4 linked regions of the Mus musculus genome follow. The protein of the gene in region 2 binds, or shares a complex with, the protein of the main gene of each other region. Links are inferred from orthologs where the notes say so. Each region holds a gene or a part of one and is shown on either strand. Other genes may lie near its edges.

The links.
Region 1: Hnrnph2 (region 2) and Pa2g4 share a complex: the UniProt entries of both Homo sapiens proteins name them as parts of the ribonucleoprotein complex. The link is inferred for Mus musculus from reciprocal best matches to the Homo sapiens genes HNRNPH2 and PA2G4.
Region 3: Hnrnph2 (region 2) and Srsf1 share a complex: the UniProt entries of both Homo sapiens proteins name them as parts of the ribonucleoprotein complex. The link is inferred for Mus musculus from reciprocal best matches to the Homo sapiens genes HNRNPH2 and SRSF1.
Region 4: Hnrnph2 (region 2) and Ddx5 share a complex: the UniProt entries of both Homo sapiens proteins name them as parts of the ribonucleoprotein complex. The link is inferred for Mus musculus from reciprocal best matches to the Homo sapiens genes HNRNPH2 and DDX5.

Annotation. Positions count from the first base shown.
Region 1 is NC_000076.6:128,555,417-128,562,892, forward strand, and holds the end of Pa2g4 (proliferation-associated protein 2G4), read right to left. Parts: coding exon 7,411-7,476; intron 5,567-7,410; coding exon 5,503-5,566; intron 5,322-5,502; coding exon 5,243-5,321; intron 4,879-5,242; coding exon 4,666-4,878; intron 4,117-4,665; coding exon 4,022-4,116; intron 3,942-4,021; coding exon 3,814-3,941; intron 3,700-3,813; coding exon 3,646-3,699; intron 3,556-3,645; coding exon 3,490-3,555; 3' UTR 2,350-3,489; downstream 1-2,349. UniProt on the Homo sapiens protein: May play a role in a ERBB3-regulated signal transduction pathway. Seems be involved in growth regulation. Acts a corepressor of the androgen receptor (AR) and is regulated by the ERBB3 ligand neuregulin-1/heregulin (HRG).
Region 2 is NC_000086.7:134,604,179-134,607,560, forward strand, and holds the end of Hnrnph2 (heterogeneous nuclear ribonucleoprotein H2), read left to right. Parts: intron 1-676; 5' UTR 677-729; coding exon 730-2,079; 3' UTR 2,080-2,882; downstream 2,883-3,382. UniProt on the Homo sapiens protein: This protein is a component of the heterogeneous nuclear ribonucleoprotein (hnRNP) complexes which provide the substrate for the processing events that pre-mRNAs undergo before becoming functional, translatable mRNAs in the cytoplasm. Binds poly(RG).
Region 3 is NC_000077.6:88,043,166-88,052,008, reverse strand, and holds the start of Srsf1 (serine/arginine-rich splicing factor 1), read right to left. Parts: upstream 4,637-8,843; 5' UTR 4,171-4,636; coding exon 3,977-4,170; intron 3,520-3,976; coding exon 3,335-3,519; intron 2,967-3,334; coding exon 2,794-2,966; coding exon of another isoform or gene 2,740-2,793; exon of another isoform or gene 2,598-2,739; coding exon 2,403-2,597; 3' UTR 1-2,402. UniProt on the Homo sapiens protein: Plays a role in preventing exon skipping, ensuring the accuracy of splicing and regulating alternative splicing.
Region 4 is NC_000077.6:106,783,545-106,792,247, forward strand, and holds the start of Ddx5 (probable ATP-dependent RNA helicase DDX5), read right to left. Parts: upstream 4,951-8,703; 5' UTR 4,773-4,950; coding exon 4,729-4,772; intron 3,531-4,728; coding exon 3,365-3,530; intron 3,001-3,364; coding exon 2,904-3,000; intron 2,816-2,903; coding exon 2,682-2,815; intron 2,589-2,681; coding exon 2,523-2,588; intron 1,993-2,522; coding exon 1,851-1,992; intron 1,753-1,850; coding exon 1,592-1,752; intron 1,509-1,591; coding exon 1,336-1,508; intron 981-1,335; coding exon 870-980; intron 619-869; coding exon 557-618; intron 475-556; coding exon 415-474; intron 1-414. Other genes in the region: Cep95 (centrosomal protein of 95 kDa), read left to right, coding at 5,815-5,833, 7,187-7,315. UniProt on the Homo sapiens protein: Involved in the alternative regulation of pre-mRNA splicing; its RNA helicase activity is necessary for increasing tau exon 10 inclusion and occurs in a RBM4-dependent manner. Binds to the tau pre-mRNA in the stem-loop region downstream of exon 10.

The sequences.
Region 1 (7,476 bases), on a different chromosome or scaffold from region 2:
ACATTTGAAATGTATATAAAGAAAATACCCAAAAAAACCCCAAACCAAAACAAACAAACAAACAAACAAAAAACCCAGCACTTGGGAGGCAGAGGCAGGCGGATTTCTGAGTTCGAGAGGCCAGCCTGGTCACAAAGTGAGTTCCAGGACAGCCAGGGCTATACAGAGAAACCCTGTCTTGAAAAACCAAAAAAAAAAAAAAAAAAAAAAAAAAAAATAGACTCTCAAATTTTGAGAAGGGATTTAGCTAAATGAATTGTTCAGGCTGGCTTGAGCTCATGACCCTTTTGCCTGTCTCCCCTTCTAAATACTGGAGTTGTGCATACACTAAGCAGAACTGGGAACCCAACCTTAGGGCTTCATGTATGACAGATAAGCCCTGTTAACTGTACCACGGCTCCACCTCCAGCTGACATTTTAAAAATCCAGATAAAAATCCCCAACAGGGGGGCTGGAGAGATGGCTCAGCAGTTAAGAGCACTGACTGCTCTTCCAAAGGTCCTGAGTTCAAATCCCAGCAACCACATGGTGGCTCACAACCATCTGTAATGTGATCTGATGCCCTCTTCTGGTATGTCTGAAGACAGCTACAGTGTACTCATATAAATATAATAAATAAATTAAAAAAAAATCCCCAACAGGATGATTTTACAGCCTCAGCTAGTGTCTCAAACTAAGAGAAAACATTTTATTTACTTTTTTGAGACAGGATTTCTCTGTGTAGCCCTGGCTGTCCTGGAACTTAATCTGTAGACCAGGCTGGCCTCAAACTCAGAAATCTGCCTGCCTCTGCCTCCCAAGTGCTGGGATTAAAGGCGTGTGCCACCACTGCCAGGCGAGAAAACATTTTACAAACCCATCTGTATTACCAGTTTATATGAACTCTGAAGGACTCTGGATATTTAGTTTGCTTCTTGTGGTTTGGGGTTTGGAGAAAAATTGAGGAAGACATTATCCCATCTCCATAGTGTGTCAATCAGCATGCCCACTAACAGCCAACAGCCAATCAGGTGTGGTGGCATACACCAAGATCACCAGGGTCAGAGGCTGTGGCAAGAGAATTACCATGAGTTTAATTTCATGTGAGTACATTGTTGCTGTCTTCAGTCACCAGAAGAGGGCATCAGCTCTCATTACAGAGGGTTGTAAGCCACCATGTGGTTACTGGGAATTGAACTCAGGACCTCTGGAAGAACAGTCAATGCTCTTAACCACTGAGTCATCTCTCCAGCCCTATTACCATGCCTTTAAGAATATAATTCATAAGGCAGGCATGGTGGCGCACGCCTTTAGTCCCAGCACTCGGGAGTCAGAGGCAGGCGGATTTCTGAGTTCCAAGGCCAGCCTGGTCTACAGAGTGAGTTCCAGGACAGCCAGGGCTACACAGAGAAACCCTGTTTCAAAAAACAAAACAAAAAAACCAAACAAACAAAAATTTATTTATTTATATATATATATATATATATATATATAAATTTCATAAAGTAGCAGTTTCAAGAGTCCAGGAAAACCAAGGCAAACCTACTCTTTGCTTTAGAAGACATTTAGCTTTGCTCCCTGAAGTATTCATGGTTCAGCAGCGCTTCTTAAATAGTAAAACTAAACCAATTTTAACCAGTTACTCCAACCACACTGAAAACTTGTCTAAGAGGTATTTTGAGTGACCAGAGCTTTCACTTAGTTGGTAGAGCTTGCCTAGCATGTAGACGTCTCCAGCTCAGCACATTATTGTGACTGTGCTGTTCTGACAGATGTGTCTACAACTCAGGCCCTCATGGCCAACTTGCCATGCGCATAAGTGCCCCCCAGTACTAACAAGGCTTGTGTTCCAGACTAACAGCGTTCATTTTGATTTTCTAAAACCAGGTGACGTCACATCACCTGGTTTTAATTGTAGCACTTGGGAGCCTGGCAGAGGCAGAAAGACCGGAGAGTTCAGGGCCAGCCTGGTCTATACAAGGACCCCAGGAAAAGGCAGATTGATTTCTGAGTTCTAGGCCAGACCGGTCTACAGAGTGAATTCCAGGAAAGCCAGGGCTACACAGAGAAACCCTGTCTCAAAAAAACAAAACCAAACCAAACCCACTTGTAAGCCCAGATAGCCCTTCAGTTGATCATCACTTCCTTGAGTGACAATGCTTCCAACCTCTATCAAAGAACTGGAAAAGCTAAGACAGCCCAGGGGACAGTGATGCTTAAAGTGATTTAGACCCAGCACTCAGGAAGCAAGTGTGTGTGTGGTGTGTGTGTCTGAGTCCAAGGCCAGCCTGGCCTACAGCTAGGCTACAAAGAGAAATCCTGTCTTAGATAAACTATACCATCCCCACCACAAAGAGAACACACAACAGTGAGCAAATCCAAATTTATTTTAATGCCATGTCATTTCAAAAACCTCAGCCTTAGTTCCCTGGGACAGCATGCCAGAGGTACAAATTGTAACTTCTCTACAACCCCCCAGCAAGCATCCAAGTCCACAGCTTCAGAAAGCCAGTTCTCTTCAGTCTACTCCTCTGCTTCCTGGTTTTTCTTTCAAGAGAGGAAACTCAAAAGTAGGTAGCTAGGTGTGGTGGTGCACACCTTAACTCTAGCACTGAGGAGGCTCTCTGTGAGGGCTAGCCTGGTTGACATAGTTTGAAGCCAGCTGGAATTAGCGAGACCCTGTTTCAAACCAACTCCACCCCACCTTACACACCAAACAATTTAAACAGGGGAAAAAACCCACTGGGATGTTCAATGTAGGGCCTAAAATCAAGTGAGGGAAAATGCACTGGACCCAGATGGCGGGAAACAAGGTATGACTTACTTACAATTTTGTGAAAATGGGTGGAAGGATTGAGGGACTGTTCAGAACAAAAATGGCTAAAAATTTTTACAAATGAGGATCCATTCAATAGATTAAAAAAATCTCTTCTTAATGGAGAATTCAGCTTCTAGAAATAGGAAGGGCCTAAACAGACACCCTGCCTAAGCAGGTCACAAGGAATCTGCCACCACAGCCAGCCCTCTTTGAGGGCAGATTAAATACTTGATGACAGATAGGGGGAAACAGAAAAGAAAAACAAACCCCCCCAGGAGTGAGAAATGCTGTCAGTGACAAAAAATCCCCAGTCCAGGCCTCCATGCTGGTGGATAACCTCACCTCCTTTCTGTTTTGTAGTTGGGCCACAAACCTTGACCAAGCGGAGTAGAAAAGGCTAGAAAGAGGGGCTTGACGACGGTGGATTTTGACTCCTGATTTTATTATTCAATTTCTTTTCTACTAAAAGTAGTCTTCGGTGGCTGGGAAGCCTGGCCTCCCAACACCAGAGTCAGTCGGAGCTGGTTTTTTGTTGAAAGGAGTGGGTGGGTGGGTTGGGGACCGGGATGAGGGCTGAAGACCCCCCGCTCTGCTGGTAGTCTTGGGTGGAGAAGACGAACTGCACTTGACAGAGCCTGGGGTGCGGTGGGAGGGGGTGAGGCAGGAATGACAAGCTGGGGAGGGGACCCACCTCAGTCCCCAGCTCCATTCTCTTCTAAGGTTTCTCCACTGGTGGCATTCTCTACAGTCTTGGAGGCCTACAGACAGGAGAAAGACAAGTAATTTGTATGCTGGTGTCTCAGAGCAGGAGGTGAGCTTGCAACCCACCCATTATTAACATCACACACCTTCTTTTTCTTCTTTTTCTGGGTTTTTCTACTTGCAGAACTCTGGAGAAGAGCCTGGAAAACAGAAGCAGGCGTCCTGAGCAATGTGGGATCATAAAGTGCAGTACTTTGGAAATCTTTCCAGGACGTCCACAAATGTCCCATGTTCATATTCCATTCAACACTAACCTTCAGCTCTGCATCTTGAACCTCCATCTCAGACTTGTACAGGTCAGGCTCAAAGGGACCACTGGTTATCCGCATGGGGCCGTTGGGCATGAGTAGAACTGTAAATTTAAACTGGGCAACAAATTCACCTATGGGAAAGCAAAAAGTTATTTAGTTTCTTCTGAAGTTGTAGGGAGGGAGCTCTTGAATGAAAAGACTTAGAACTCACCCTCCTTCTCATAGAGAACGTTAAATGGCTGTAGTAACTCATGTTTGGCACACTCTACCACACCCATTCGAGCCTTCTTCTCATCTTCAAATGCTCTGGGGAGAGACGGGATTCAGGTTTCCTTAACACCTATCCGGCATCACCATTTCTGTATTAGTGTGGGATTACCATGTATGACTGGAGATGGGGGTCAGGGGGCAACCGTGTGAAGCTGGTTCCCTTCTACTCTTAAATGAGTTTCAGGGGTTGAACTTAGGTTGGCAGTCTTACACAGTTCTTGGGCTGCAACTGCACATTGAATGGCCCTGCTGTTCAAGACAGGGTTTTGCTCAATGTAGCTCAGGCTGTCTTAAAACTCTTGATCTTCCGCCCCTGGAGTGCTGACATCACAAGCATCTGCCACCACACTCAGCATGTTCTTAAATCACTGCCATCCTTGTGCAGAAATTATGTTTGGGGTTGTTCCATATTATATTCAACAAGGAGATGGGTGGAACAGGGGACGTGCATTCATTCAGGAGCTACAAGTCTGGGCAGGAGAGCAAGGGAGGGAAGGAGGGAGGGCCAAGGGATGGGAAACCATTCCTGGGTGTACAAACAGTGTCAGACTGGTTTCCCAGTACTGCTCTTGCCACACGTAGTACCTTAAAGTAAACGGCATGGCATCAAAACGCCGTTCCACCTCACTGAAAAAGGCACGTGAAGTTTTCATTTTCAGGCCATATTGTTTAGAGGGGTCTCGCTTGTAGATGGTGGTTCTCTGTCCTGCATCTTTGGCCTTGCCTTCTCCTGAGCTGACGAGGACATCTACAGCATAAACCTCATGCACCTCAAATTCTGCCTTTTCATGGTCCTTCCTAAAAGGAACAGAGAAGGAACCCTAAGAGTACAAAAGCCAGATATAGGGGAGCAAGCCTGTGACCTTAGCATTAGAAGGCAGGGGCATTGCTACAAGTTCTAGGCCAGTCACACACACAATGACAACTGCCCCTCAAACACTCCTCTTACAGGACCTGAGTTCAGTTCTCATCACCCAAACCAGGTAGGTAGGTGTGCCACTTGCTCCAGGAATAGACAGACACACAGACATAATAATTAAGATCCTTAAAGAAAACAAGGAAGATCCACAGTGACCTGTAGCAGTTTGGAGGTCATCTTGATCAAAGTAGGGGCCTAGACAGACAACATGTGACAGCAAAAGACAAACGGGGCTGGGCTTACTTCTGCTGGTCTGTAGGGTTCTGGATAATCGTCTTCTCTCCATCAATCACATGCTGCTTCAATTGGTGTGACAGCATACCTGCAGACAGGATAAAACCTATGGTACCAGCTACAGGGATATAGGGCCCCCGATAGCTTCTAAGTCCACTCATATAAGAAGATTATACATGACTATGGAAACAAGGTATGGGGGGTTTCTGCCTTAGACAAAGCCAGAGCCAGGAAGGAGACTTAATTGATCTGGTTATCTCAGGTCTCACCTTCTATTGGTGTGCAGTTAAATGAGTGAGCAACCTTGTTCCATGCTTCAGTCACTTGTGTGTTCTAGAAGAGCAAACAACAGGTGAGACTTGTCTGCGGCCTACCCTTTCTCACGGCAGATTTCTAACATCCTTTATTAAATGCCAGTGACTCTCACACAACCCATCACATCTACAAACTCATATCCAGGGGACGGTCCCAGCACTTGGGAGGCAAATGTAGGAGGATCTCTCAGCTCAAGACCAGCTTGGTCTATAGAGTCCAGGAGAGTAGGGCTACTCGAAAGAAACCCTGTCTCACCCCACAAAAAAATTGCATAAACATGATCCAAGGAGACAACAGAGCAAATCTATATACCCCAATCCAGAGGAAAGGGAAACAGACTCAAAAAGGTTAACTAATTTATCCAAAGCTAAGCGAGTATTTTTAGAGAAATCTTGCTATAAACCTGTATTTCCCAACAAGACTAGAGATGTAATTTCTTCCTGTGGAACCTATAAAGGCTTATCAATTCTGTATGCCTGATCTGATATATCCCCAGTGCCGGGAATAAAGGCATATGCCACCCTCCCCTGGATAGAAGTTTGTTGGTAGAAATGATGGGGTTGTGTGAGAATCACTGGCTTGGCATTTAGAGAACAAATAGAACCAAAAAACATTCGTCTCTAATTTACAAAAACAAAACAAAACAAAACAAACAAACTGTGCCTAAGCCAGGCATGGTGGTGCAAGCCTTTAATCCCAGCACTCAGGAGGCAGAGGCAGGCGGATTTCTGAGTTCGAGGCCAGCCTGGTCTACAGAGTGAATTCCAGGACAGCCATGGCTATACAGAGAAACCCCGTCTCGAAAAACAAAAAACAACAACAAAAAATCTGTGCCTGGCAAAGTAGTGCCTTTACTACCAGAACTTGGGGAGACAGAAGCAGGAGAACCCGAGTTCAAGGCCAGCCTGGCATACACAATATATGAGCTGTTTCAAGATAAGCAAAAGAAAATAACATTATTTAGTGTGTGCATACATTTATTATTACTAAGTAAATGTAAGTTGTAGGGCTTGGTTTTTTTCAAGACAGGGTTTCTCTGTGTAGCCCTGGCTGTCCTGGAACTCACTCTGTAGACCAGGCTGACCCCGAACTCAGAAATCCTCCTGCCTCTGCCTCCCAAGTGCCACCACTGCTCTCGGCCAGTTCTTGTTTTCTATCAGGTAGGCCCTAGGGATCAAACAGGCCACCAGGCAGAGTACAAAGGGCCCTTACCCATTGAGACATCTTGCTGACCCTAACAGTCCTCCTCATCCAGGGTACTGGTCCCTCGGACACTTTTCCTAGTTTACAGATGAGGAAATTTGATCACACACGTGATCCCAGGGGAGGAGGATGGACACCAGGGAAGAAAAGATGACTTAAAAAGTTGAGCTCATAGACTGCATCTGATTCAACAGCTACAGACTAACCATTATGCAAATAGCCAGTAAAAAAAAGACTTGCCTAACTTACTACAGGCTGGGTACCTTCAAAGTGCTAGAAAACTCTGAAGTTGTTATCAGAAGGACACAAAGAATTTAATCAGGGGAATGAATACAAACTGAGCACAGTGTGCGCACTCAGCACACACACACACACACACACACACACACACACACACCCCACCACCACCACCACCACCACCACCACCACCATACCCGGCTGTATGGTCACACACAACTGTAAAAAATTGTTTCTGTTAGTTATTTTGGGGTCAAAACACACAAACAAAAATCTAAGAATGGCTTTTATAGGTTCCACAGGAAGAAATACATCCCCTATACCTTGCATGGATAGTAGGCACTCAGTTAACTGCTGTTTATAAACGCCCGATTCATCTTTTTCCCTCTGTCAAGCTTTGGAATTACAAGGAAGTGCCTTACCTGGTTTCCAGGTTTGACCAGTCGTAAGGCAGCTTCAGCACATAGGTGAGCGGCCTTAATGACATC
Region 2 (3,382 bases):
TACACGTAATCAACCAATCCTTCTATGAACGTGCCTTCTATGTAGTCTATGTATCTGCACTTTGTTGAGGACACATAGTTCTCCTATAGAACTGTGATTCGTCCGTGGCAGAACTGTGGACTGAAGCTGGCTCCTAAAACTTGTTTAAATGTATATTAATGTCTTCCATTTATCTCTTAGGCTTTAGTACTTCTGTATTTTATTGACTTGTATTCATTCTTTATATTTTTAGGCTATTTAATGGATTTGTTGTATTGTCTCATGAGTTTTGTTTGTCTTTTGATTTAAAGAATATTTTCATTTTTCTATAATGGGATATAGTTGTACATTGTTATATTTAGTTTTAATTTTCTCTCTGTGATGTTAATACATTGGCTCAGTGCAGAAAATTTAGAATATTCGAAATTATCTAAAGGAAAAAAGTATCCATGGAAACAAAAAAAAATTCCTATAGTACTGTTACCCAGAAATAACCACTGTTAATTAGACCTGATACATAAGAGAAATGGTATAAGCACTCGCTAAGTGAATGGATTAAAAGTTTTATGCAGTCTTTGCTCATATGGCTCCTTTGAAAAACTTACTGATGTGAACTTGTAAAATAATAGTTTTCTTTGTTTCTCTTACTATATTATATACACTTTTTCATGACAATAGTTTTCTAATTTTTTTAAAGCCACATTGAATTTGCATTGAGCCAAGCTTGCCACCAAGAGTCCATCAGTCACCATGATGCTGAGCACAGAGGGCAGGGAGGGGTTCGTGGTGAAGGTCAGGGGCCTACCCTGGTCCTGCTCAGCCGAGGAAGTGATGCGCTTCTTCTCTGATTGCAAAATCCAAAATGGCACATCAGGTGTTCGTTTCATCTACACCAGAGAAGGCAGACCGAGTGGTGAAGCATTTGTCGAACTTGAATCTGAAGATGAAGTGAAATTGGCTTTAAAGAAAGACAGAGAAACCATGGGACACAGATATGTTGAAGTATTCAAATCCAACAGTGTTGAAATGGATTGGGTGTTAAAGCATACAGGTCCAAATAGTCCTGATACTGCCAATGATGGTTTTGTACGACTCAGAGGACTCCCATTTGGCTGTAGCAAGGAAGAAATTGTTCAGTTCTTTTCAGGGTTGGAAATTGTGCCAAATGGGATGACACTGCCAGTGGACTTTCAGGGGCGGAGCACAGGGGAAGCTTTTGTGCAGTTTGCTTCACAGGAGATAGCTGAGAAGGCCTTAAAGAAACACAAGGAAAGAATAGGGCATAGGTACATCGAAATCTTCAAGAGTAGCCGAGCTGAAGTCCGAACCCACTATGATCCACCTAGAAAGCTCATGACTATGCAGCGCCCGGGTCCTTACGATAGGCCAGGGGCTGGAAGAGGGTATAATAGCATTGGCAGAGGAGCCGGGTTTGAAAGAATGAGGCGGGGTGCCTATGGTGGAGGGTATGGAGGCTATGATGACTATGGAGGTTATAATGACGGGTATGGTTTTGGGTCTGATAGATTTGGAAGAGACCTAAACTACTGTTTCTCAGGAATGTCTGATCATAGATATGGAGATGGTGGGTCCAGTTTCCAGAGCACCACGGGGCACTGTGTACATATGAGGGGGTTACCATACAGAGCCACCGAGAATGATATTTACAATTTTTTCTCACCTCTTAATCCCATGAGAGTGCACATTGAAATAGGACCTGATGGAAGAGTTACTGGTGAGGCAGATGTTGAGTTTGCTACTCATGAAGACGCTGTGGCAGCTATGGCAAAAGATAAAGCAAATATGCAACACAGATATGTGGAGCTCTTCTTGAATTCTACCGCAGGGACAAGTGGAGGAGCTTATGATCATAGCTATGTAGAGCTCTTTTTGAATTCTACAGCAGGGGCAAGTGGTGGTGCTTACGGTAGCCAGATGATGGGAGGGATGGGTTTATCCAACCAGTCTAGTTATGGAGGTCCGGCCAGCCAGCAGCTGAGTGGTGGCTATGGAGGGGGTTATGGTGGTCAGAGCAGTATGAGTGGATATGACCAAGTTCTTCAGGAAAACTCAAGTGACTATCAGTCAAACCTTGCTTAGGAAGCAAGGGACCATCCAATAACATCTACATGAATAAAAGCTATCTTTATAGGAACTGGATAGAGTAGGGAGGGTGTCTTTATATCCAGTATGATTGGTAAATGGGAAGTACAACTGCTTCTGATCACTATTGGTCAGCTTCTTTCTTCTTTTTCCTTTTTTTTTTTTTAAAAAAAAGAACAAAAATTTAAGTTTTAACAGTTTCGCATTACAAGCTTGTGATTCATGCTTACTGTAAAGTGAAAGTTAAGATTGTTTTCAAACTTTAAGCTCAGCAATTTTGAACACTGAAAATATTCATCTAGGATGTAATAACAAGTTCAGTATTGACCATAACTGTCAACTCCCCTTTGAGCTTTCCTCAAGTTAGTTATGTTGTAGGAGTGTACTTAAGCAGCAAGCATATTTAGGTTTAAAGCAGTTTCACTTACGTTAAATGTTGCTCTTATACCACAATACATCGAAAACTTCAGATGCATGTTGAAAAACATGCTTTTCTGTAAAAAAAAATATATATAGGAGCTGTGTCTATGATTCAAAGTGACAACATTTGGCATGTTTGTTAATTCTAGCTTTTTGGTTTAATATCCTGTAAGGCACGTGAGTGTACACTTTCACTTTTTTTTTTAAAGATCCGGAACAATTTTGAGATGTGATACCAATACATTAGGAGTTTGGTCATGTTATTTGTATGGAATTCTGGGGCTTTGATTTAAACCTTACCTTGTATTGTGAATTCCATTTAGATGTATTGTACTAAGTGAAACTTGTTAAATAAATCTTCCTTTTAAAAACTGGAAAAATCTTGCATAGTTTGATTTTCTTTTTTAAAATCATGTTCTATTATATGGACACACAGTAACTGGCTTTTAAAGTTCTCTGCTGTTGAAATTTTAATTTTTTTCTCAAATATTCCAGGCTATGAATGACTCAAGTTTTGATCCTCCTGCCTCTACTTCCTAAGGATTAGAATTGCAGTCATACGTCACTGTCCAGTTTATGCAGTGCTGGAGAACAAACCCAGGGCTGCTTGCATACAAGACATGAACTGTACCAACAGAGCTATATTCATAGCCTAAATTTTGATTGTGTGTTGCTAGAGGGTAGAGAACAATATTGGATCTCCTTTTCTAAATGCCCTGCCTTATTGTCTTGGTGGTAATGGGGTCTTTCACTGAGCCTGCAACTAGGCTGGCAGCCAGGAAGTCCCAGTGATCTGCCACTGCTGTACACTGCACTGGGGTTATAATCACACTGATCTTACTGGGTCACACTTTGTGGGTGACCATGGCTGGGTTGTTAC
Region 3 (8,843 bases), on a different chromosome or scaffold from region 2:
ATATATAATTGCTGACTCAATACAGAACAGTTTGGCGACAGAACACTCTATGGCTGAAAAGATTTATAATGTATTTATTAACCCAATAAGCATTTGACAGCACACTATCCAAAATTTAAAAAAAAAAAAACTGTGTAGTCTATTTTGTCTCCTAATGTTAATACTGAATTTGAGTTCCACTGAGAATCTCAAAGCTAAAATTGATTAGCTATCAAACTTTGTACAAAAGCCTATTTTGTCTAAAGCATTACCAAAATAAACAGCAACTGTAAGTTCTTTAGCAAAATATGAAAGATTACTTTCCAGATCATTACCCTCTACACAACTGTTACGTATGTAACTGCCTTACACTCAGTTTATTATGCTCTTAAGACTTCCACAACAGAGACAGTCATCATTTATTAGAATCTTTAATTTACTAACACATAAACAGAATCAGAATCTTATCAAATTAAATAACTGATACACTAGTTACCCAATCAAAATTTTACAAGAGGAAAAAGGACAACCATGCATCGTTTTTTAAAAAATGTTTATTTTTTTCAAAGAAAAACGGCAATAGCCAATTGGAAACCTACTTATTCTTCAACTCCAATTTTGTTTTCTTTAAATTTAGAAGTGACTTACTGATTTACTATTTTAAACAAACCCCCCCTTTTCCCCTTTAAATGTTTACCATCTACTCGTGCTGAATCCTTCCAAGGAGATTGCTCCAGCGTATATCTCCAGGTCCTCGCTTTGCTCCTTTTACCAAAAAATGCAAAACACAATTCCATCGTGCATCTTAAGGGCTCCAATCGTCAAAAATAGGAAAAAAATTCTTTGGAATAGCCAATTAAGTTGAATGAAAAAAAAATCCACACGAATGCGGTTTGGTTGGGGCAGGAAGGAATCCACTCCTATGTTCCTGGTAATCTGATCCCGCTCCATGAATCCTGGTAATTCATCCTCCCTATCCTATCCACATTATGATTTGAATCCAATGATCCAGCTCCAAGGATTGGGATCCAGTGAGCCCTCTCCAATCCAAACCTTTATAACCAGCAAAACCAAAAAAGAGGAGGCAAAATGTTAGACACTGTAACCAAAAAAAGTTTCTGGGGAATGATGAGTTATGTCTGTCATCAGTTTACAGATGCACATCAATAACTATCAAATTCCCCAAAACAAGTTTCTGTATGGTGTTCAGATAAATTTTAGAAACTTAATAACTATAGAGACTAACTGGAAGAAGCACTTTATATTTACAGTTCAACTGATAATGCCAACACTTGTTACTGTACAGGTATCACAGGTTTTGTGGTTGCAAAGTTATATAATTGAAGTTTACTGGTATTACTACCCACCTAAACCTAAACTATTGCTCCCATCTGCAATTTAGCTTGTAAATTAAAGTGTTTTAAACATGAGTCAATTATGAATATTAAAAGGGAAGGTGAGACTTAAAGTACTCCCAACTAGATTATCTACACTAATACGTTGGAATTCTATTATTTTGCTGTCATTTTGTCTTTAAAAAATGAAATAACAATGCTCTATCAGTCACACAGAGGACATGCAGATTTAGCAGTATTGATATTATACTCTGTTTGGAAATTGACACCCTGTACCCACATGTACACCAACAGCAGGCCACACATTAACAGTTGTAACTAAGCACTGTGACAAATTAGCCATTCTTCCCACATTAGTCCCTATTAAAACAAAAAGGGGGGAAGGGAGCAAATAATTGTTACAAAATGGGCAATTCTACCACAATTGCCAAGGTTTTAAAAAGCAAAGCAATTGTAGCTGAAGATAACTGCATTAAGTGTTTGCAAATCTTTTAAGGTAGATAAATTTTTAACCCTCGCCTTCTAGTATAAGGTCAATACTGCCAATTTCATCTGTGACAATAGCACTTGGAGTCATACCATTGCCTCCATTATTGATCTGATCCTCCTCAATCCTCCTTTTGACAATCCTAAAATGATTGAAATGTGCTCCACAATCCTTAATCCAAAGCATTCTTAATCCATCTCTTCAGATATGTCTACAGAAAGACACATGAAAAGCAAGATAAACATAAGAACTTCCCCCAAGTAAGATAACCACAAACACCCCCAACATCCCATTTCACACAAACCAGAGCAGAATAGACATTTACATAATATCACAGTCTGAAGAGCATGGAAATTAACTAAATTTAAACAATCCTGTCTATGACATCACTTAAAATACAAGTTACCAAAGACATGAGGGGAATGTAGATGTTAGGAGCAAGGGGATATTACACAAGAATGCAATTCAACACTTTAGCCCATTCTGAACAAAACAGCTTGAATTAAAAAAATGAAAAGATTGTACTGAGTAAAGGAAAACTGTATACAACATGGGTTCTACAAAAAGTGTCACCAATCATCTTATGTACGAGAGCGAGATCTGCTATGACGGGGAGAATAGCGTGGTGATCCTCTGCTTCTCCTTGGGGAGTAACTGCGACTCCTGCTGTTGCTTCTGCTACGGCTTCTGCTACGACTACGGCTTCGAGATCGAGATCTTCCATAACTTGGACTTCTGGGCCCATCAACTTTAACCCGGATGTAGGCAGTTTCTCCCTATTGGATAGACAGAACTTTCCATTGAAAGATCTAAGCTTTCACCTGTCTTCAGACAAGCTGAACGAATACAAAGACAGATCAGGGCTCTGGTAATTTACGTGAACACCCTTGCCTGTATCCTTACCTTCAAATTCCACTGTTAAGAAAACTGTATCCAATTCTGGCCAAAAAAAAGAATAAGTGTATAACCTACCTCGTGAGATCTAAACTTAGTGTTATCCAGTTTTCGAACTGCATACGTCATATCTTCTTTCCGTACAAACTCCACGACACCAGTGCCATCTCGGTAAACATCAGCGTAACATACATCACCTGCCTCACGCATGTGATCCTTTAAGTCCTGCCAGCTTCCACTCGGAGGCAGTCCTGAAAAAGCGATTCCCCCTAATTTAATACTACTCATCCTGTCCCACGGCAAACGTGTAAAGTACATTCGAACAAGGATTATTTTAAAATACTTAATGATTGTACTTAAGTGTTTCCAGGTAAAGAGCTGGTAAGAGTCAGATCCAGAGTCCAAATTTATTTGTAAAGGATCTTCATAGGCTAGTACTGCAACCTAATTTGGGTAAATCACCACCACAGTAATCTTTATTTACTAAATTCATCCCAAAGACCGAAGTAGTCCAAGACCCCGTGTGTAAAACAAAACAAAAACAACAATAACAAAAACCTTGCAGTACTCAAAGCAGTCATGCGGGAAAAAGATTTTAACCCGCACGAAGTCAACTCACCAGAGACAACCACTCTGTTCTCGGACCGCCTGGACGGCGGGCCATAGCGGCCTCTCGGGGCGCCGCCGCCTCCACCCCCGCCGCCGCCTCGGCCGGTCCCGCGGCCGCTTCGGGGAAACTCTACCCGCAGCCGGTAGCCGTCGTAGTCGTAGCCGTCGCGACCGTACACCGCATCTTCCGCGTCTCTGCGTGTGATCACAGAAAGCGAAAGGGGGGGGTGATGAGGGGAGGGAGCCGCCGGACCCAGCTCGTTCGCCCGCTCCGGGGGTGAAAAGCCGCGGCCACAGCGCACATGCGCACCCACGGGGCCACACGGAGCCCCACATGCGCCGCATAATAGGGCCGGCCCTTCCCCCACCCAGCACCACGCCGGGCAGAGGCTCCCGACCACCTCGCCGGCCCTCAGCGCCTCGGTTTCCCGCTCCGGGGGCTGCGCATGGGCTCGGGGGGTAGGGGGGACGTCCGAGGCGGCCGGCCACCGGAGACAACGCGCCGCCTCTCGGCTCTCCTGACTCGACTCCTGCAGGGGCGATAGCGCCTCGGAGCCCCTCCTCTCCCCCCATTATGTTCCAAGGCCTCCGAGCCTTCCCCAACTCCTCCACGCTATCTCCTCAAGGCCGCGCACGCCCCACGCTGCCTCACCGCGGGTCCTCGAACTCAACGAAGGCGAAGGGCGGTCCCCCGCGGCGGTTCTTCAGGTCGATGTCGCGGATGGCGCCGTATTTGTAAAACACGTCCTCGATGTCCTTGGTTCGGATATCCGGAGGTAGGTTACCCACGTAGATGCGGCAGTCGTTGTTCCCCGCCGGGCCACGGATCACACCACCTCCCGACATGGCGGCGGCGGCGACGACGAAAAGCGCGGACTCGGGGGGGGGGAAGGAAAAAAAAAAAAAGAGGCCTTCCTACCAAGCCTAGCGTACGGCAGAGCGAGCCCTCAGCGGCACCACGTCTCCCGCGGCCGCTCCAAAATGGCGCCTTTATCAGCTCGGCGCACTGATACCGGGGGGGAGGGGGAGGAAGAGAAGCCGGAGGAAGCGGCTCGTCCCTCCCAGTGCGCAGGCGCACGCCTCTAACGGGTGCTGAGAAGCACGCTCGCGCACGCGCGACGTCACCCTCCGCACGGAGGGGAAAAAGTCCCTCGCGTCCTGGCGGGTTGACTGGCTGCTGGAACGTCCAGGCGTTTAGTAAAAATCACATGCTCTGGTTAAAGCGGTTATTATTAATCCCCACTGAGTCCAGAATCGTCGGCCACCTCGGGGGTAGACCCTCTCTGAAAGCAGCTCGGCGCTCTAAAAAGATTGGGTGAAACCTATCTTGCAAGCGTGTCCCACCATGCTCCGCGGTGGTAACGGCCTTTGGCGGGAAAGGCGCCGCGGGGCGGAGATAGATGACGCTGAGCTGTTGCTCCGGAAACCTGGGCATCTTCTGCACTTCGGTGCCGCCGGCGGGAGTTGCAGGTGATTTCATTTAAAAGCCGAAGCGGAGCAGTGTGGCTTCTGCCTCTGGGAACCTGCGGTGGGCTGCATCTTAGTTAAAGTGTCTAGACGGATCCTCCATATCTATCTAAATGAAAACTGTGCCTTGAGTTTTCCTCTTCCTCCTTTCTAAGGATGAAAAAGGAAGAGTGATAAAACAGTTTAACTGCAGAGCCGAGATCCCGGTTCTGTGCTGGTCTAGGGAGATTATTTATTTATTTGTTTATTTTGCCAAGATTATCTGCAAAAGGATTCTTGCATTGGATACCACAATTTTGCTTCTTTGTTTTGTAATAACGGGAATAGAAGAGCCTTACGTGTGAAATCATACGGCCTTGTAGTGTTGTTAATGAACTCGAATTATAATAAAAGCAAACCAATCTGGACTTAAGCTTGTGTGCCTGAAATCCTATCACTCCGGAAGCTGAGGCAAGGAGGGTCCAGCCTACCCTGTTATACACAGTTCTAGTAAAGGTTATCCCGGAGCCAGGCAGTGGTGGCGCATGCCTTTAATCCCAGCGCTCGGGAGGCAGAGGCAGGCGGATTTCAGAGTTCGAGGCCAGCCTGGTCTACTGAGTGAGTTCCAGGACAGCCAGGGCTATACAGAGAAGCCCTGTCTCGAAAAACCAAAGGGGAGGCGGGGGGAAAGGTTAGCCCGGGACATTCAGGGAAACCCTTTCTATTAAAAATATTGAAAAACAAAACGTTTTCTTGGTGTTGTTTTTGTTTTGGGGTTGTTTTGTTTGAGACACGATTTCTCTGTGTACCCCTGGCTGTCCTGGAGTTCCTGCCTTCTGAGTGCTGGGATCAAAGTCACTACCTCCCAGCTAAAACCAGAGCCTTTCATGATTGGATAGAGACAGCCAGGCGTAGTGGTAAATGCCTCTTGAAGTTTTTGGGAAGCGGAATTTCAGGGTTCAAGGCCAGCCAGAGCTGTGTCGACCCTATCACTAATAAATATGCTAAGTCGGATCCCCACAGGTTCTAAGGGTGATTCTTTATACTGTAATTTTTAGTTTTTAATTTTTATGTTATGCATATTGTGTCTTGGGGTGGTGGGTCATGCCATGGCCCATGTGTGAAAGTCAGAAAATAAGGTGCAGTTCACCACTCATGCCATGTGAGCCCCCGAGATGAAACGTCAGGCTTGGGAGGAGCACCTTAACCAGATGAGTCACTGAGTCATTGCTGCCCCTGGATGTTATCATTTATTTACAACAGTCCAAGGATGTGGGGCTGCTTAAAATGAAACCATTAAATATTAAGACTGGCTGGAGAAATCAAGGACAGTGAGAGTGGGGGAGAGGCAGAAGTGATGTATAAGGTTTCTAGGCAAAATGCCTGAAGAACTTGTTGAATTTTGGGAGATCTACTGCAAATTTGACTACTCTCACCAGAAGTCACAGTAAAGAAGAGGAGAGCATAATATATCCAATTTTTAAGCGATTTTAAAATCTAAATAGTTCAGGGGAAAAAAAACAGTTTTTTGTTGTTGTTAGTCATAAAAGCATGGGAGCCCACATCAGTAATCTCAGCCCTCAGGAGATTAAGATACCAAGGAAAATAGTGAGCTCACTGGGAGTCTACCCTGCTTCAAAAACAAAGCCAGCCGAGGTGGCATACACCTTTAATCCCAGCACTCAGGAGGCAGAGGCAGGGGGATTTCTGAGTTCAAGGCCAGCCTGGTCTACAGAGTAAGTTCCAGGACAGCCAGGGCTACACAGAGAAACCCTGTCTCGAAAAACAAAACTAAAAAACAAACAAAAAAAATATAATAAAATAAAGTAAAATTTTATATTTTTTTAACATTTATGCTAATATTGACCTCTTTGGTGATAACTTTGTTATTTTTACTACTAAAAAAAAAGACAAAGTTCTAAATATTCAACTGACCAGGCAGTGGTGGCCCACGCCAGCACTCGCTGGGCAGAGGCAGGTGGATTTCTGAGTTCAAGGCCAACCTGATCTACAGAGTGAATTCCAGGACAGCCAGGGTTACACAGAGAAACCCTGTCTTGAAAAACAAGCAAACAAAAAAACAAACAAACAAAAAAAACCTAAATATTCTGGGAAAAATTGACTTGGTTTTTGTTTTAATTACACATATTTTCAGAAAATGAAAGAAATAGTACATATCTTTGTTTTTTCATCTTTAATTGCTCACTGGTTATGAACATAATACTGGTTAATTTTGTGTTATTATAATAAAGTATCTGAGGTTGGGTAACACTTCAGAAAGATTTATCCAGTTCAATGACCCATTTATTTCTATGGCTTCTCTAGTAGGCCTTGCTAAGCAGTACATATCTTTTTATTTAGTTTATGTGTGTCTCATTTCGCCTAGTTAAATTATGTTACCAATAATGAATACTGATTATTTACTGACTGTTCCTTGAAAAATGTAGAACAGTGAGCAGACTGTTGTTTCCATGGAAACTTGATGTTGCTGTCGATAGATAGACAATGTTCGTAAGGATTGATTTCATTCCATGGATAACAAAAGCCACTTTTGAAGCCCAACTAAGACATCTAAAAATACTGCCATGGTATAATTTTATTCCAGGACTGGCTTCCTTAATTCTTTGAGTCTTTCTGCTTTCTTTTTGGCTGAATTAGCCCATCTTTGTTGTCCCATTATTAACAATATGACTTTGCCAAAAAAAAAAAAAGTTCCTAAAATGATCTGTAACAAAAAGATTATCTTCAGTATGACTTGTTCCTATATTAATTACTATTCTAGCTCTTGTCTTCCTTCCTCTTTGTCTTCTAAGGTCAAATTCAGTTCAAGTTGAACACTTCCTAGGTGAACTAATTAGGTTTTTTGTTTGGTTTTGGTTTTTCTAGGCAGTTTCTCTTTGTAGCTCTAGCTGTCTTTAAATTCACACTGTAAATTAGGCTGGCCTCAAACTCAGAGATCCACTTGCCTCTGATTCTGGGATACCAGCACTGGTAATTATTGAATTTTTTTTTTTAATGCTGATGAGTCTTTTTTGGGGGGCCTGAAGATGTTACCCCAGGTGGTCTGAAGTGCTTCATCATACCTGGCTGCAATTTCTTCTTATAATGGGGTGAAAATAAGTGTGAGGTTTTTTTTATTGTTGTTTTTGGGTTTTTTTTTTTTTGTTTTGTTTTGTTTTTGTTTTTTGTTTTTTGGTTTTTTTTTGGTTTTTCCAGACAGGGTTTCTCTGTGTAGCCCTGGCTGTCCTGGAACTCACTCTGTAGACCAGGCTGGCCTTGAACTCAGAAATCTGCTTGCCTCTACCTCCCAAGTGCTGGGATCAAAGGCGTGTGCCACCACCACCTGGCAGAGTTAGATATTTTCACTGCTACTTGTTCATAATCCTGCCAAATACAAAATTAATGTTGATAGCAATATTTATTTGAGGTTTTGAAAGTGTGACCTTCTCCCTCTTTTATTGTGTTTTTTAAAGATTTGTTTATTAATTATATGTACGTACACTGTAGCTGTCTTCAGACACCCCAGAAGAGGGCATCATATCTCACTATGGATGGTTGTGGGCCATCATGTGGTTGCTGGGATTTGAACTCAGGATCTTCAGAAGAGCAGTAAATGCTCTTTTAGATTTATTTTTTTATTTTATGTATATGAGTACACTGTAGCTGTCTTCAGACACACCAGAAGAGGGCATCAGATCCCATTATAGATGGTTGTGAGCCACCATGTGGTTGCTGGGAATTGAACTCAGGGCCTCTGGAAGAGCAGTCAGTGCTCTTAACTGCTGAGCCATCTCTCCAGCTCCACAGTAAATGCTCTTAACTGCTGAGCCATCTCTCCAGCCCTTTTATTGTTTTTTTAAATACTTATTTGTTGGTTTTGTTTTGTTTTGTTTGTTTTATTTTTATTTTTCTAGACAGGGTTCTTCCATGTAGCCTTGGCTGTCCTGCAGCTCACTTAAATCATAGAGATCCACCCGCCTCTGCCTCCTGAGTGTAGAGATTAAAGGTGTTTCCACCACCTCCTGGCTTTGTTAAAGATCCATTTCATTTTAAAAGTATAAATATGTCTTTTT
Region 4 (8,703 bases), on a different chromosome or scaffold from region 2:
TCAAAGACCCACAGATCACAGTGAACAGTTTGAAACAATGCTGTACCATGGCAATCATGCAAAGCATGGGACAGATGAAATACCACGGCAGTGAACTGTGAGGTAACTTCCATTTTTTTCCCCCGGAGAGAACAGTTTATGGGGCAGAGGTGGTATGTTCTGCCCTTTGAAGATTACTGGCACACTTTCAGCTTTTCACCTCTCTAATCGACTGGAAGCAGCCAGCCGATCACTAGTCCTCCATCCCCCTCGAGTCCTCCGATTGTCATGCCTAGGCCTTGCCACAAAGACTGCACCTTTATGTGAAAAAAACTTAGAAAAAATGCAGGTTAAAGAAAGCAATAAACTTTCTTTAAAAAAAACTACATGGAGATCTTCTGGGAAACCAAGCCATGAATTCGAGTTTGTACTAACCTAGCCCTCTGGAGGCCACATCGGTAGCAATCAGAATAGGAGCTTTTCCATGTTTGAATTCTATAAAGACAACCATGAATAATCATTAATGCAAGCAAATGATGTTATCAAGCTACAAACTAATCTTATTTGAAATACATACCATTTAGAACCCAGTCACGTTCCTGCTGACTCTTGTCACCATGGATGCCCATGGCAGGCCACCTATACCAAGAATTAAATTATCAGTAGTATACCCAACTTAAAACTCTTGTCAAGACTCTACCAATATCTATTCCCACTGTACTTCATCTTGGCCAAGTGTTTTCCCACTAAGCATTGCAACCCAGAGCCTACTACAAGTCACTGGAACGAATCCATACAATTACCCCTATATCACAGCGCATGATTCCCAAAAAACACTAGCCCCAGATCAAAGTACTTTTAAGTCTGCTTTGACTCAGGAAACCACATACCCATCTCTCCTCATTTTTCTGGTAAGTTCATCACATCTTCTTTTGGTTTCAACAAAAACAATAGTTTTATTCTCCTTCTCACTCATGATTTCTTCCATCAGACGAATAAGCCTAAAGATGAAGAAAAACTCACCATTTTTAAAAGGATATAAAAACAAAACCAAACACAACCCTGATTTTTTGCTTAGTGAATCCAAATGTCAAACCCACTAAGCCACCACACATACAGATTTTCAGGTGTATCACTTTATGCGTGCTTGTGTAGTGACTAGGTTCAAAAACTATGAGTGTTTTCCTCATGCAAGCCAAGCAAGTTCTTCATATCACACCAAGCCATATCACCAACAAATGGACTTTTAAAAGAACATATAGCACACTACCTTAATTTTATTTTGAGACAATTTTCAGAATTGATTACTCTTAGTTTATGTAAGATTTTTCTCAATTTGTAAAAATGTAAACTCACTTTTCATCCTTTTCGACATCATGACATACATCCACAATCTGAAGAATGTTATGGTTTGCACTCAGTTCCAGTGCACCAATATTGATATGAATATAGTCTTTCAGGAAATCTTCAGCAAGCTGTCTTACTTCTTTTGGCCAAGTTGCACTCCACATTAGTGTTTGCCTATCAGGCTGAAGATTTAAGGAAGCAAGTTACACTTCAATCTTAAGAGCATTCCTAGAACTGATTTTTATGATAACATAAAGATACTTACTCTTATTTGATCCACAATTTTCCTTATCTGGGGTTCAAATCCCATATCAAGCATCCTATCAGCTTCATCAAGGACAAGGTAAGTTGTTCTTCTCAGATTGGTTTTCCCACACTCTAAAAAGTCAATCAGTCTTCCAGGTGTTGCAATACAGATTTCCACACCTTTAATTAAATAAATAAAAAGGAGTAGATGCTTTAACTATAATACACAAAACCATCATCTCCATCAGTGACAAAGATCCCCCTTTATGGTCACACACCTCTTTCCAAATCACGAATCTGTGGTCCTTTGGGAGCACCACCATAGATGCAAGTAGACTTCAAGCGACAAGCTCGACAATATTCAGCAGCCACTTGCTGCACCTGCTGTGCCAGTTCTCGAGTTGGTGCCAGCACCAAGCACTAAGTTTGAAAAACAAAAAAAAGTGTTTAGTATAAAACAGTTTACTAAGACCCTATGTCTTCGTGTGTTGGGAATTAGAATTCAGGTGGTCATAAGACTTTTTTTTGAGACAGTGTCTCCTGAATTCTCCAGTTTCTACCTCCCAGGCACTATTCTCAGGATAAAATTTTTGTGTGTGGAAGCACATGGAGAAACCAGAAGGCAACTTTTGCAAGTTGGTCTCTCCTTGTGGTAGTTGATCTTGATCAGGCTCATGACAAGTATCTATAATTGGCTGATCCAACTAACTGTCTTTGGATACTAATTTTTTCCCCCCGAGATAGGGTTTCTTTGTGTAGCTCTGGCTGTCCTGGAACTCAGAAATCCACCTGCCTCTGCCTCCCCAGTGCTGTGATTAAAGGTGTGTGCCACCACGCCTGGGCTGGATACTAATTTTAAGTGGCTAGTTTATACTGGCAACCCTATATTCCCTATATGAAAGTCAAAGGAGTTTTAGCAAATATGGTGGGAAACTTAAGATAATACTTACAATAGGCCCATCACCTCTCTCTAGGAATGGCTGGTGGTTTATGTGTACAATGGCAGGCAGCAAATACTATTGAAGAGTAAAAATAATAGAAATTGGATTAAAATAGTTATATATCTAAGGTCACCTCTGCCACAATTTATCAAGTTTTCCTAGACTTACAGATAATGTTTTCCCAGATCCAGTCTGAGCTACTCCAACCATATCCAATCCACTGAGAGCAACTGGCCAGCCCTGAGCTTGAATAGCAGTGGGTTCAGTAAAGTTCTGCCTTGCAATCACATCCATGACATTCGCTGCAACCAACAATACCATTTTAAAAACAAATTTATAAGCAAGGGGGGGGGGGGAAATGAAAGGATAAAGATGAAAGTTAGTCCTTACCAGGAAAGTTTGCTTCATAAAAATTCAGAACAGGTTTTGGACAGTTGTGACCTCTAACTGTAATTTCCTTGCTTCTTCTGTATGTATCTACCTCTTGCTGAAAAACAAATTATCTCAGCCTCAGACTTCTGCCATGCTCCCTATAGCTCAATAAACTTTTAAACATACTTATTTCTAAAAATCTGGACCCATAAATAAGAACTCTACTTGGCAACAAAAATTAATAATTAATTTATAATACTTATTTAAATGAAAATTGAGTCTCTATGAAGCCCAATAGACTGCTAAACCTGTTTCCCCAGTGACAGGATTAAAATAGGGCACCATATATCACAAGAAAAATTCAATGGAAGTGCACCACAAGCAACTCTCCATTTGCAAGGCACCTATTACATTTCCATCTAATTGACTAGAAGCAGTTACTGAGTTACAGCATGAAGAAGCCACATTTATAAACTCACTGCGGTGCGCCTTGCCAAATCAGGGTGTTCTTGATAAAAATTCTTCTCAAATTTGGGCAGCTCATCAAGATTCCACTTCTTTTTAACTAGTTTCTCCCCAGGATTTCCAAACTTCTTTCCAGAGAGGGGTCCTGTTCTACTCCCTCCAAATCGAGGTGCACCAAACCTACACACACACAAAACAAAAGTTGGGCACATTGTGAAAGATACTGCATGAACAGGTTTGCCCTCACATTTCATCTGCTGCCTTTTGATAGAGCCAAAGTGTGCTTCTGGAATCCTTCCCAACTGTCATTCTAAGGACAGCCACAACTGGCAGCGTTTCTTTTCTGAAGTCCCAAGCACACTCTACTGAGGCCAAATAAACATCGTGGGTTTATCAGGTGGCAAACAGCCCAAACATCTGACCAGATTACAAGGACAAGAGTTAGAGCCTCCATCTTCTCTCCCCACAGAGCTTAGGCATTAGCGTCTAGGAGCTGGGCAAGAAGGGAGGAGCTTAGGAAGGTTATTTTTGCCCGTTTTCATCAAAGGACCTAATCTTAAAGAAATAACGGGGCCGCAAAGGCAATGTGAGCAGCTGAACGAGGCTAGCACGGCGGACAGGGTAGAAAGGGGAACAGGCGCCAGCGAGCCGAGTCTAGGGAAACGCCGCGAACGGCTGCAAACCAAGGTAACAAAATTATATAACGCGAGGGAGAAAAAGAGGAGGAGCCGAAAGCAACCGGGGGAGGAGTCCCGGCCCGGGCGGCGTTCCCGCTGGGGCGGCGCTTCCTTCTTTGTCTCGCATTTCTCTCTGCGCCACATTTTCTCGCCGCTGCCATTTTGAGCTCCTCCGCCGGGCGGGGTAACAAAGGCGCCGCCGCCATGTCCGAGGCCGGCATTTTGTGGCTGCGGCTCCGCCACATGGCCGAATCCGCCGGCGTAGGCCACCCAACGGGGCACAGGGGACCTCGAAAGCGCCCCTTCTTTCCCCCGGGGATACCGGAAGGGGGGGCCCCCCTCAAAAAACAACCCAACGAAAGATTGCGCAAACGACGCCGGGAACCGCCTCAAAGGCGCGGCGCTTCCCGACCGAAAACACTCCTCCGGGTTTCCCTCAACAGCCGCGAGGTCGCCGGGCCGCCCCGGGTCCCGGCCCACCCTCCCGGACCAAAAAAAAAAAAAAAAAAAAAAAAAAAAAGGTTGAACGCCATTACCCGAAGCGTAGCCTTTAACGGCTTTTAACCGGACGTGTGACAAAAGCCAGGCCTCCTTTCAGGAAGGGAAAAAAAAAAATCTAAAGGTCGGTTGGGAAGGCGAGCCTTCGGCCGCGCCGCTCTCCCATCCCCCACCCGGCCTGACAGGTCTCTTGTCACACTCACCCTCGATCCCGGCCGCGGTCTCGGTCACTAGAATAACTCGACATGGCGTCAATGGTGGCGGTGTGCGGGCGGAACCCAGTGAAAGTAGAATCCTGCGGCGACGAGTCGCGGAGAGAAGGCCTCGGCGACGGCGAAGCCTCTGCGGGGGCGTCACCAGCGGAGGGGCCGGTGGTGTCGAGGGCCGGAGCTGCGAGGGCAAGGACCGATGGAAATGAATGAGGTGCCGGCTGCGTCCCGGCAGCCGCTTTTATAGTCTGGACCGCCTCCTCGCCGCAAAGCACGCTGGGAGCCGCTCTATGACCTAATCACCCCGCCCCCCTGGCTCGGAGGCCCTCAACGCCCGCCCGCCCGGGTTCCGGAATCCGCCATGTTCTCGCCCCTCCCCCTCCGCGGGCGGGCGCTCCCTCCCCGGCGCCCGTTTATTACTCGCTTCACGACTGGGTGACACCACTAGAATGCCTCGCCCCGACGCCCTTTTGGCGACACCGCCGTCTCTCGTCTCGCTACACCTCAGACAAGCTGCTTCCCCGTGGCCAGACGGTCCTTAAAATGGCCAGCGCCAGCCATTCCACCGACTCTACTTGAAGATGTTTACGTCTCCACAGACTCCCCCCACGCCCATAACCGAAGGAGACCAGGGAGGCGGAGCTTGGCCTCATCACGTGATCGGACCCAGGGCAAGGCGGATCGCACTACTTCCTCGCTTGGTCTCTCGGCGGAGGAACACCAAACCACCAACTCACCGGAAGCGCGGCTCCAACGCCCCCGGGGAGATCGGCCGGGCTGCTGGGTGACCTGGCTGCCCTGCCCGCCGATCTGAGAACCCGTAAGCGGGATCTTGACCGCGGGGAATGGTATCTGGAGCCCGCAAACTGCCGCCTCAGCGCGTGCTGCGAGGAAGTGCTCCTCTGCTGTCCAATCAGCGTCGAGAAGCCGTTTTAACGTCCCTCCCTCTTCCACCCCTCCTTCCCCGCTCGCTAGTGTCTGCCCCCTCCTCCTCCCGTCGGCTCGACCGAGTTCGACCCTTCTGGGACACCGTCGCCCGCGCTCTCGTCTTGGAGTCCGGCCGCGACCTCTCCTGGCAGTATGGCCAGCTCAGAGGCTGGTGAGTCTCGGCCTGGAGCCCTGGTGGTTTTGTACTGCAGCATTCCGCGGACCTTGGGCTGAATCTGAACCGCGTCTGCGCCGCTGCGGAGGCTCGGGACTGTCGGACACTAGTTGCAGTCGCGCGCGCGGTGGGGGGGGGGGTTCTATGAATTTAGGGTCTCAGCCTCGAAACCTCTTGCGGTTTCCAGACGTGGAACTGAGACTTGGGATGAGATAGGAACTCTTTGTCGAGCCTGGGACACCCGCATCCTGTCTATATAGAGCAGTCAAGATCCTTTCTTGGATCCGAATTTTTGTGGGGTATCTATCCACAGACTGTCTCTCTTTCCCCTTGCTTTGTTTGGACTAAGGCAGAACTTATCTTTATATTGATTTTTTTTTCCTTTTTGAGGCATAGCACTCATAAGTTCTTTTGATGCCCTCTAGAGTAACTGGCATTTTCTAGTACTGCCTTTGAAAAGCCAATTGATTCGGTTGTCTAGGACGCTTTCCTCTCTTTCCAAAATGGTTGTCATGGCTTGGTCAGCTGTGCGACATAGGCATCGGGAAGAGGGCATACTGGGCATGACATATTCAGACTATTGTCTCCAGAGCGTGTGTCAGTACTGGAAATGTGGCCAGTTCCAGTCATTTCAAGATTCAGGGGTTTCAAGTTTTGGAATTATTGCTGAAATCCTTAACCTTAGTCCTGCACTATCTAGGGAAGGGCAAGAGCTGGTTTTGGAAAACAATTAATGTGCTAATTTAGAACTTAGCGATTTGGGTTTTTTTTTTCTTCATTTTTTACCTTCGTATACATCAAATATAATAAAAGGAAAACTAACAAATGCATTAGTGTCGGTGTTGTCATTATTCAAGTTCCTAACAGCCTAAATTAATCCCTTATTTGGGCACCCGAGAGATCTTAACTTACACAAGATAATTGGGTAAAAACATGTCTAAAACTATTGGGAATTCTGAGCCACCTCCGTTAGTTTCTAGCAACTTTTAGATTATCATTTACAGCTGACTTATGACATTCCTGGTTACCTATAAATTTATTGTAACTAAAAACACCCATGTGAGTATAAAAATACTGGCAAATAGGATTTTAGGTTACAAGAATAAGAGTTGGGTTGGAACAGCTGTTTTGACTTCAAAGAAGCTAGCTAGCACAGGAAATTATCTTAAATACATCTTTTGAGAACTTGCCTGGTTGAGTCTTTGAAATTTCATAAGAGTCCTTATCTTGTACAGTTTCCAATGTATATTCTTGTGCAGCAGTGATTTTTAAATGTACATATATATGACTTTCTCTATTGCTATTGAAGACTGATTTCCCCCTCCTCCCACCCCACTTCTTCCCCAACAGAATGGGTAACAATTGCCAATAACCTCCTTTTTAAATGTCACATACACCTGAGGATACACGAACTTCAAGACTGTGATGCTAATGTTTTTATTGCCCTTTATCAATCCATTTTGGGAGAAAAGGTACCAGGTAAGGGTACTGAAAAGTGAGAATAATTTTATGTCTTAGGTCACAGGTTTCCTTTGACATAGAATTTTGTTTCCCTTTCAATATCTTATTTCTATCCAAATATGGTGCAAGTTGCTTTAATGAGTACAGTATGGACCTCACCCATAATAATAGCCATGATTAAATAAATGGTTTGGCGTTTATTTGAATTAATCCCCATTTGACTCAATCTCATATAGTTCATTCATGCCTTTAAAAACGTTATTTCTGTAACTACCTTCAAGATTCTAAATTTGAATAGGTCTTGAAATTTATTGGATCTTAACTACTGATTATAGATAAGAATTAACATTATAGTGAAGTGTGTTGGCCAGGCTGGTCTACATAGTGAATTCTAAAGTTACATAGTCCTTGTTTCTAAAAGGGAAAAAAAATGTTGTTTGTATTTGGTTAACCTAATTTACTGAGAAGATAGCTAATTCATGCTGTAGTGGTGCATGCTTTTAATCCCAGCACTGGAGAGGCAGAAGGAAGGTAGATCTCTCCACAGAGATGGGGTCCAGCCTGGTCCACAGATTGAGTAAATGAAAATAGCCAGTAAATGTGACTAACTGTGACTGCTTATTTTCTTTTAGGTGCCAGATCATTTGCATGTGTCCTCTGTTAAATATCACAGACCCCTTATCTTTAGAATCCTTACTGCTCCTTCCTTTGGCTCTGAGAAAGCATTACTATAAAATGCCTCTGCCTCTGCCTCTGCCTCTGCCTCTGCCTCTGCCTCTGCCTCTGCCTCTGCCTCTGCCTCTGCCTCTGCCTCTGCCTCTGCCTCTCGAGCACCAGGAGCAAAGGCATGCACCACTACACCCACCTTCAATACCAGAGAGACACTTGGCTTGCTGTTGAGATCTCTCCATACTCTCTATGTGTGCTTTAGCTTTTATGCCAGCTATTCCCAGAAGATGCTTGTAACGGCCTTTAAGAGGCCTACCTGAGCACCTGCTGTGGTTTGCTGCTCTTGATTCTTGAGACAGTATCACTGTGTAGCCTCAGTTGGCCTAGAACTTGCTATGTGGACCAGGCTGTACTTTGCCTTCTGAATGAATGCTGGAATTAAAGGCATGTGCCACCATGTCTAGCTGATTTGGGATTTAATTTTTTGCTTTACTTTGTCAAGGAAAGCGGCTCATAGTTAGGGAATTAATAGACAAGTGTAGTTGCAAACTCATAATACTACCACAGCCCCTCCAGTGCTGAGATTATAGATGTGTGTCATCATGCACAGCCTTGTTTTTATTATTAGACCATCTTATTGCCTTGAATATAGGGATCTCTTTATCCCTTTTCATGGTGCTTCCATAAAATACACTCATACATGCGTGAAAAGTATTTCACTAATATATACAGAGTGT